Linked DNA regions of Macaca mulatta. The protein of the gene in region 2 purifies or fractionates together with the protein of the main gene of each other region. This does not show direct contact. Links are inferred from orthologs where the notes say so. Each region holds a gene or a part of one and is shown on either strand. Other genes may lie near its edges.

What was found.
Region 1: the proteins of MED13 (region 2) and MED9 purify together in Homo sapiens (affinity purification with mass spectrometry; 6 studies listed by BioGRID and IntAct, with this or other methods). This does not show direct contact. The link is inferred for Macaca mulatta from reciprocal best matches to the Homo sapiens genes MED13 and MED9.

What each region holds. Positions count from the first base shown.
Region 1 is NC_133421.1:19,031,554-19,036,130, reverse strand, and holds the start of MED9 (mediator of RNA polymerase II transcription subunit 9), read right to left. Parts: upstream 2,991-4,577; 5' UTR 2,959-2,990; coding exon 2,735-2,958; intron 1-2,734.
Region 2 is NC_133421.1:49,804,525-49,809,009, reverse strand, and holds the start of MED13 (mediator of RNA polymerase II transcription subunit 13), read left to right. Parts: upstream 1-1,497; 5' UTR 1,498-1,630; coding exon 1,631-1,696; intron 1,697-3,541; coding exon 3,542-3,776; intron 3,777-4,485. UniProt on the Homo sapiens protein: Component of the Mediator complex, a coactivator involved in the regulated transcription of nearly all RNA polymerase II-dependent genes.

The DNA.
Region 1 (4,577 bases), about 31 Mb from region 2:
AGACTTCAAGTAATCATCCTGTTCTTAGACCCACCTTCACCCCTATTTCCAGGGGGTCCTTGCACTAGAGTTCCTGAGATCTGGGGGTAGGCCATGTTTAACAAGCCAGCTGCTTAGGAGTTGGTAGATGAATTAGCACTGGTCATTCACTTTGTAGCGATCATCTCCTGTCCTATTCTTTTCGGTTTTATGCTTTTTATTTTTGAGATAGGGTCTCGTTCTGTCACCCTTGCTAAAGTACAGTGGCATGATCTGGGTTCAAGTGATCCTCCCACTTCAGCCTTCCAAGTAGCCAGGACTGCAGGCACACACCACGCCTGGCTAATTTTTTTTTTTTTGTATTTTTTGTAGGGATGGGGTTTTGCCATGTTGCCCAGGCTGGTCTTGAACTCCCAGGCTCAAGCGACCAGCTCACCTCAGCCTCCTAAAGTGTTGGGATTACAGGCATGAGCCACTGCATCTGAAGGTTTTATGTATTTTTTTTTTAAGTCCCTTCTGTGTCCCTTTAGACGAAACAGAGACAAGCACATGTGATCAGCCCACTAGGTTTCACAGGTACGCTCTTGAGTACATCTCCCAACAATCCTATGACATAAGCATTCCCATTTCATAAGAGAAAAACAGGCTCAGAGAAGCTAAGCTACTTGCCCAGGTCACCCAGTCAGCACATTATAGAGCTATTACATAATCTAAACCTCTCTTTTGAGGTCCACTATGGACATATTAGAGATAAGAAGATTATGGCCTAGAAAGGTTAGACATTTATATCAATATTAGAAGGCATGAAAATGTCAGTATACAGATTTGAACTCAGGACTGTCTAACTTCAAAGCCTCTTCTCTGTAGTATAACTTACTACTACATCTTTAAGGCCAGCCCAATCCAGCTGCTTTACCAGGGCTCAAGAATATACTCTTGGGGGGTTCAAGAGCTGTCTTTGTGAATGTGTACATTTTGTGTTTTCCTTTTTCCACATTTTTCTTAAAACCAGTAAACTGGGGTTAATCTGACTAAACCCTTTATAATCCGGCACTGCCCTGGGATTATAGGGGCTCCATACGTATTTCTGTCTGTGATCATTATCACAGGCTCACAAAAACTGAACAGGCTGTCTTATCCCAGAAACATTTTTTTAAATTTATTTATTTATTTATTTATTTTTGAGACAGAGTCTTGCTCTTGTTGCCCAGGCTGGAGTGCAACGGCATGATCTCGGCTCAATACAACCTCCACCTCCCAGGTTCAAGTGATTCTCCTGCCTCAGCCTCCCGATTAGCTGGGATTACGGGCACCCACCACCACACCTGGCTAATTTTTGTTTTTAGTAAGAGACAGGGTTTCACCATGTTGGCCAGGCTGGTCTCAAACTCCTGACCTCGTGATCCGCCTGCCTTGGCCTCCCAAAGTGCTTGGATTACAGGCATGAGACACCACGCCCGGCCCTTATAAACAGTAAACACCAAGTGAAGCCAAATGAAGCCAGGGTCTAATGTGAGAACAAAGCCTTTGTAGTTATTTGAAAAGTGGCAGAAGAGCATCAGGTCATCCCACAGCAAGTGAATCTAGTTTGCTTAAACTCAAAAGTGGGTGGGCCACTAACGGTCAAGACCTTCACGTTGTAACAATTCCGTTTCAGTAAAACAGTGAAGAGCACATTCATGTTCACCTGAATGTTACTGGATTCGTAATTTTCTTTTAATTTACTTTGTGGTCTTTAATGGCTGAATAAGAGTTATAAGCCTAAGGGTTTACACCTACTATCACGTGGATATAGAGTGAAGTAACATAATGAAAATAATTTACAGCCTAGGCAACACGACTAAATTCCATCTCTACAAAAAGTACAAAAATTCGCTGGGTGCTGTGGCTCATGCCTGTGGTTCCGGTTACTTGGGAGGCTGAGGTGGGAGGATGGCTTGAGGCCTGGAGGTTGAGGCTGCAGTGAGACGAGATCACGCCACTGTACTCCAGTCCGGGTGACAGAGCGAGACCCTGTCTCAAAAAAAAAAATAATAATTTAGGCAAACACTGGGATCAGTAAGACTTTCGTGCTTTTGTTTTTGGTTTTTCCTTTACAGAGTCACTTTGAAAACTCAGGCTACCCTAAAGGCTGGCCAAAAGGATGACAATTATCTCCTTTGGTACTGTTGGAACAAAGTCAGTACAGGTGGGTCTAATCATCTCAGGCAACTTCTGTGTTTTTGCTTAGTCTAATATTTCCCATCGCCACCGCTCCCCTCTCAATCTTTTTGAATTATGGGTTATTCCCAATCATGTCTTTTTTTTTCCTTCTATGCCCCTTTTACTGTGTCCATCCCATAGCACTTGGCAGTGTCCCACACAGGGAAGATGATGCTTATCTGTTGAGTCTGTTGAAATAAGGAACTAAAGTGAGTATTACTAACATTAAAGGTGAGAAAACTGAGACTTAAAGAGATTTAATTTGCTCAAGATCGATGGGATGCACGTTTGAGCCGCTGGACAAGAGTCTGTATGTAGTCTCTAAGCTGGCTTCATTCTTAAGGATATCGCACCTCTCGGGGCTCAAATCGTTTGCTTAACTCATGGAATGTCTCTGTGGTCTTGGGAAAGGCCTCTTCCCGCTCTGGGTCTGAGTTTCCCCATCTGCGAAACGGGGGCGTGCCCTAGAGCGCCAAGGCCTCTTGAAGCTCTGAAACGGCTGAGACGAGAAGCTGGAGGGAGTATGGGGCCTGGTCCTCTCCTAGGTTCTTACCATTTGATGATGCTGTGAACCAAAGGTAAAAAGGAGTAGTTCTCTTCCTCCCTCGCGCGGGCAGGTGACTGAGGCCGTGGCGCCGGCGACTGCTGCGGCTGAGGCGCAGGGACAGGCGGCGGCTGAGGGGGCGGCAGCGGCTTGGTGTCAGGCAGCGGCTGGTCGGACGTTGGCGGCAATGCATCCTCCGCCTGTCGCCCGGCTGCCACCCCAGCAGAGGCCATGGCTCCGGGGTTAGGTTAACCCAGAGGTCGGGTCGCCGACAGCGTCGCGAACTCTATACGTCACCACCGCGCGCCCTGCAGGGGCGCAGTGTGGAGGAAGGCTCTGAGCATGCGCACTGGGCACTCGGCTGGCAACGGGGCGGAGGCGGGGTGGGGAGACTGTTGCTAGGCGACGGGCCGTGGGTGGGTCTGGGGTGCCTGGTTTTGGGTTGAGTCAAGACCCAAAATTATTTAAATATTATTAAATAGTGAGAAATAGGGGATTTATTTCAGAAATAACAATTTTTTTTTTTGAGACGGAGTTTCGCTCTTGTTGCCCAGGCTGGAGTGCAGTGGCGTGATCTCGGCTCAAAGCAACCTCCGCCTCCCGGGTTCAAATGATTCTCCTCCCTCAGCCTCCCAAGTAGCTGGGATTACAGGCATACACCACCACGCCCGGCTAATTTTGTATTATTAGTAGAGACGGGGTTTCTTCATGTTGATGGTTTCGAACGCCCCACCTCAGGTGATCCGCCCTCCTCGGCCTCCCAAAGTGCTGAGATTACAGGCGCAAGCCACCGCACCTGGCCAGAAATAACAATCTTCTTATTCCTATTCACACGATGAAGAGGGCCCCAAAGCCACAAACACAGGAAGCCTTGAGGTCAGTAAGGCGCAGCCTGGCCCAGTGCACCCAAGTCTGGAGAGGAACCACTGGACCTGCAGGAGGCGTAGACAGCACTTACCTGCTGGCTGAGGCACCAAACCCGGCCCGGCCCACAGTGCGAGACATCGAGACCTCCTGCTTAGCCCTAAGGACGCAGAGGCAAAGGGATTGCGGTCCCTTCAGTGCTGCATGGCTGCTGAGAGTCTGATAATTCAACTCAACACACTTTTAGTATGCACCTGCTGGATGGCCAGGTGTAATGTGTGGTTGCAGGGAGGCTGTCCTTGCTTTCAATACAAGGTAGAGGGGATTCGTGCCAGGAATAAATATCATATCCTGGAAGAACGACAAAGTCAGGTACTCTCCATACCTTCGGGCCAGTTCCTCAAACCCCTAGGTCCCAGTTTCCTCACCCCTAAAATCATATTTAGTTCAGAGTCATGGCAGAGCCTAAACTGCATTCTAACTTCACATTCGTGGCTGACCCCAAAAGGTCTTGTTGGCATGAGGACTCCCTAGGATCGTAGGCCAAAGATGGGTTTATGGTTATGCTTCTCAAAACAAGTTTGCTATGAGGGCTAAGTAGCAATTTTCTGCGCAATGGGGACAGCCACCCTAAGCTTAGCTAGTTAGAAGACATGAGTGGGGAAAGCTGTCAACTGGCGAGCCCATTCTGCTGTAATCCACCATCATGGGCAGTGCAGAGAGGCGAGGAGGTCCACATCCACATAGTACTATGAACAGGAGCCTTAAGAGCAAGGTGGCCAGGGAAAGGATCACTGCTGATATTTTCAGGCACATTGGGAGGGCTGTGTGGAGGCAGATCCTTGCCGAGTAGGACCATAGACAGAAGTGCTGTTGGAGGGTCCGCTGTACAGGTAAAGGGCCTCAGCACAGCTCTCTGCAGCAAGAGCTGCCCACGATGCCCCAGAGAGAGAGCAAAGGGAGGGAGTGGGTTGCAGGGTTTTCTTCC
Region 2 (4,485 bases):
GGAAAGAGAATGAACCTTTTGTTTGGTTCTTACTTCTTACCACCCACTCATTTGTAAATATACAAATATGAAGCACCTACTGTGTGCTAGGTATCTTTTTTTAGGCACTAGAGAGACAGAAGTAAACAACAACAAAAACGTAGTGAGACCTTTACATACACTAGTTCTCCTGCTTCTCACAATAACTGTATGAGGTAACGATGACAACAATAATAGTTAACTCTTAACAGTGCTTATCTGTGCAGGGCCCTGGGCTACCTGCTTAATTTGCATTAACTCATTACAATAAGCTTGTGGGGTAAGGGGCATGTTTTCCCCGTTTTACAGACGAGGAAACAAGACACAGGGCAGAAAGTGATTTGCTCAAGCTTGGAACCCAGGGAGTGTGGCTCTAATTCCCAGTCTATTAACTACAGGGCAATATTTTGTTTCTTAAGTTTCTATCTTCATATCACAACTTTTAGGTGGTGGAGTCTCGTCCCCATCCAGATCGTCTGACTCCCAAATCCAGAGGTTTGCGCCTGCACCCCAGCGGCCTCGCGAAATAAATGAGAATGTCTTGGAATTTTTGTCAATACTTTCTCTTCCAAAGAACTCAAACTGATTTCCACGTAATTCCCATTGATTTGTGAAATGAACCTTCCTGGACTGTAAATTTCCCCGCAAAGACAGGGCCAGGGCCACGGGTCATTTTACACTGGCCAGGGCACCCAGCAGGTGGCGCTATGTTAGTGGCTACCAGCTGGCTGCCCAGTCCCCGGGGCTCACCGCCTCGGCCGAAAGCTTCCCGGCCCTCCCTCGCTCACTTCTCTCTCCCCCTCCCCACGGAGCCCGGGCCCACGTGACCTCAAGGCGGCCAATGGGTGAGCAGAGAGGGCGAGCTGGTCCCTGTGGCCGCCATTAAAGCGAAGGGAAAACCCGTGAATTCGGATTAAAGGGGGAAAAACACCGCCCGCTGGGCCCACAAAATGGGGGAGACTACGGCGTCCAGCCGGTGAGGCCGCAGGAGGGCAGACGTTAGGCCGGCTCGGCCCAGGGACGACACGAAGACAGAGCCAGAGAATGGTCTGAGCCCGCAGACGCCGCCACCACCTCCGCCGCTGAGGAGACTCTGGGCTTAAGGACATCGCCGCTGCCGGGCCGGGGGCCTGGGCTTCTCTCCCGGTTCTCGCCCTTCCCGCCCCTGTGTGGGCGCCTCCCCGCCCGGGAGAACCTTCCAGGGCTTGGGCTCTGCCGTCTCGGACTCGTTTTTGATTATTTATTGTGTAATTTATTATTTTTCTTGTGGTAGGGGCACACATCCCCTCCGTCTCCCAGAGAAGGACGAGCGTCTGCGGGCTCCGCAGTCCGGCCCGCCAGGCGAGCGCGGCGCGGCCCTCCCGCCTCCGGCCCTCGGCCCCGGGCGGCTGGGTGCCGGCCGGGCGGCGGGGGCTGCTCGCGGCGGCGGCAGCGGCGGCGGCGGGGGGGTGGGTGGGGAGGGCGGGCGGCCCGGCGGCCTCCTCTTCCACCGCCCCCCCAACCACTACCCCCCCCACGCCCTCCCCGGTGTCTGTGTTTCTCTCTCTGGTCGGAGGCGGCGGTAATGGCGGATGGTGGGTTGTGGCGCCGGCGGCGGCTGCTGTGAGGGACGATGAGTGCCTCCTTCGTGCCGAACGGGGCCAGCCTGGAAGATTGTCACTGTAACCTCTTCTGCCTGGTGAGTGCCGGGGCCGGCGGGCGCCGAGGGAGGGGGGCCGTGAGGTGCGCCCTTGGGCCGTGGGGGAGGGGGCCGGGTCTGGTCCAGATGCCCGAGTCCCCGGGCGAGGCCCAGCCGGAGCCGGCGCCCTGCGAAGCTCCGCGGCCAACCCCGGGAGACTGCGTTCGCTCTCCCACGGTCCCGGGCCCTGTTTGGGGAGTGTTGGCATTTTTTCTCGTCTTCTTTCGGACTCTCCTCTTCACCGTAGTCTCGTCCTCAACTTGAGCTCCTTATCTGGCAGGACAGTAACCTTTCTCTCTCTCTTAACTGTTGCTTTTCTGCTTATTGGCCTTGTATCCCAGCTTCACACTTTCCATTATTGCCCCTGCTCCCCACCGCCTTTATGTCTCATCCTTTTAATTTGGTTTCCCCATGTAAACAGGACCCCAGAACTTATGCCCCAGAAACCTGTCTTCGTTTTACATTTTTTTTGTATGAGTCAAACTAACGCAAGGTTAGTTTCTTCCTTGGGTGACTTAAGATCTCTCTGTAAAAACCAGTAGGTGCCATTTCATATGTTTTCTTTTTAAACTTTGAAAACAGTTTGCCATTTTTGACAATTTCTAGCCATCTTGCTTTTATTAGAACATAATTTTTTTTGTGCGAGTGAAGGGGGCTAATGGACGAGGTGCTGTGGTTTTGCACTGTTTCTATATTTATTGTGTTTTGCTTGCTTTTTCAGAATGTTTTGAGCAGGCTGCTCCCTTGTTTGATTGAAATGAAAAGTCCAGAGAAGCTGGGTGTAGGGATGACCATTGTGTAGGTTAGCCCAGGTCTGGTAACATCCAACAGTTGAGACTTTCAAAAGTACCAACTGTTGCAAATAACTTGGCCTGTGTGGGACAGTAGCTGAGCTTCATCAATGACTTTAAGTTTGGGTGACTTTATTTTTTCATTTTCTCCTTTGTGCTATGAGAAATATTAAGAGTATATGATAGGTAATAAGTGAGTTAAGTGGGCGGAGCACAACTAGTTGGCAAGTGTAAACTGCCAGTCATGTATCAGCAGTTTCATTTTTGGCACCTTATGCTTTGCACCTTTAAGTTAGATTAAATTATTGAATTCCTCTTGAATTTCTTTCTGGATGCTAAATTGAGATCTTTCATACTCTATCCTCTTCTACAGTATGTTTTTCTTTTCAATGTCCATTAATCAGCATCTCTTCACGTATAATACGACATACACCAGGTTTTGTATTCTATCTTATCCAACTCAGTCTATTTTTGATACTTTTAGGATCAGGCTCTTTGAAGATAGACTAGCACAAATCTGACAGTTCTTTGTGAGCAGCTATTTGACTTTTCCGACAGGGGTATGTGTGAAGAATTAACATAGATTTTTTTCAGGACTTGTTCAGATGTCTTTTCATTAGAGACATTACTTCTGTAAATGTGGAATAAAAACTCGTGATAGGGTCTTTAATAATTGATTTTCAGTTAAACGTTTGACACCAATGAATAAATGTGACCATTTAGGACAGAGAAAAATGTACTCTGTTTGTATATTGAAGTGTGTGTGTCTGTCTATATTTAACTTCATTCAGTTTCTTTTATTTCTACTTGGAGTACATATTTGCTTGCTATTCAGTGACATGGTGGTATTTATTTTTAACTGTGTTCTTCTCCCTAAAATTGTTGGTTGTTGAATTATAAAGTCATTTTTTTTTTGGTTCTAATTTGCATTCAATAGCTCAAGCATATATTGAAAAATTGTAATGTCTTAACGAAATAGGAGACATCGTATGGAGTACTTTTGTGAATATGAGTGAATATGCAATAATAAAACATCATGCTTTCTTTTCTTCAGGCTGACTTGACGGGAATTAAATGGAAAAAATATGTATGGCAAGGCCCAACTTCTGCCCCTATTCTGTTTCCTGTGACAGAAGAAGACCCCATTTTGAGCAGTTTTAGTCGCTGCCTTAAGGCAGATGTACTTGGTGTTTGGCGGCGAGATCAAAGACCTGGAAGAAGAGAATTGTGGATATTTTGGTGGGGTGAAGACCCCAATTTTGCTGACCTTATTCACCATGACTTATCAGGTGAAAGAAACTTTCCATTTCTAATTAATGATACAGCAACATTGTATACTTCTCCCAGAATATCATTTGTATTACAAAGTAAGTTTGTTTTTGTGGGACACTTAGGTAGGAGGCCAGATAAAAATTGAGCTTCATGTTTTATTTCACCATGATTATTTTATTTTACTCAAATTATCCATGTTATAGCTGGGTTTTTTAGGCTTGAATGACTTTCTCCTTTTACCACCTCTCTTCTTAATTTCTCACGGGTAGTTAGGGTCCAAGGAAGGCATGCCACATTAATCTCAAAAAATGGAATCAGGAAACAGAGTTCCTAACAAAGTCATGTAATAGTTTTGAAGCCAGATGTAACTTTTGAGTCACTTCAGCCACTGTCAAAGTTGAGTCTTTTGCATTAAATGGGCAGATGATTCTAAAAGTACTGGAAATGTAACTATCCTTGTGTTTGTGTGTGTGTGTGCGCGCATGTTTTAAGGTATGTAAGTATTTTGTTACTGTCATTTGTGCTGTTTGATTAACATATGAAGGCATATGTTAATTTAGTTATTTTTGGAAAGTGACTCATATACTGTTCTGTCACATACTCAATAAGAGACAAGTGCCAACTTGTTTAGCTTTTATAGGACATGGGATCATAATCTAAAAGGTTACACAAACAATTTTATTATGAGCAAATCAATGTGATTACTTCCTTATTTTCTTGACTTTT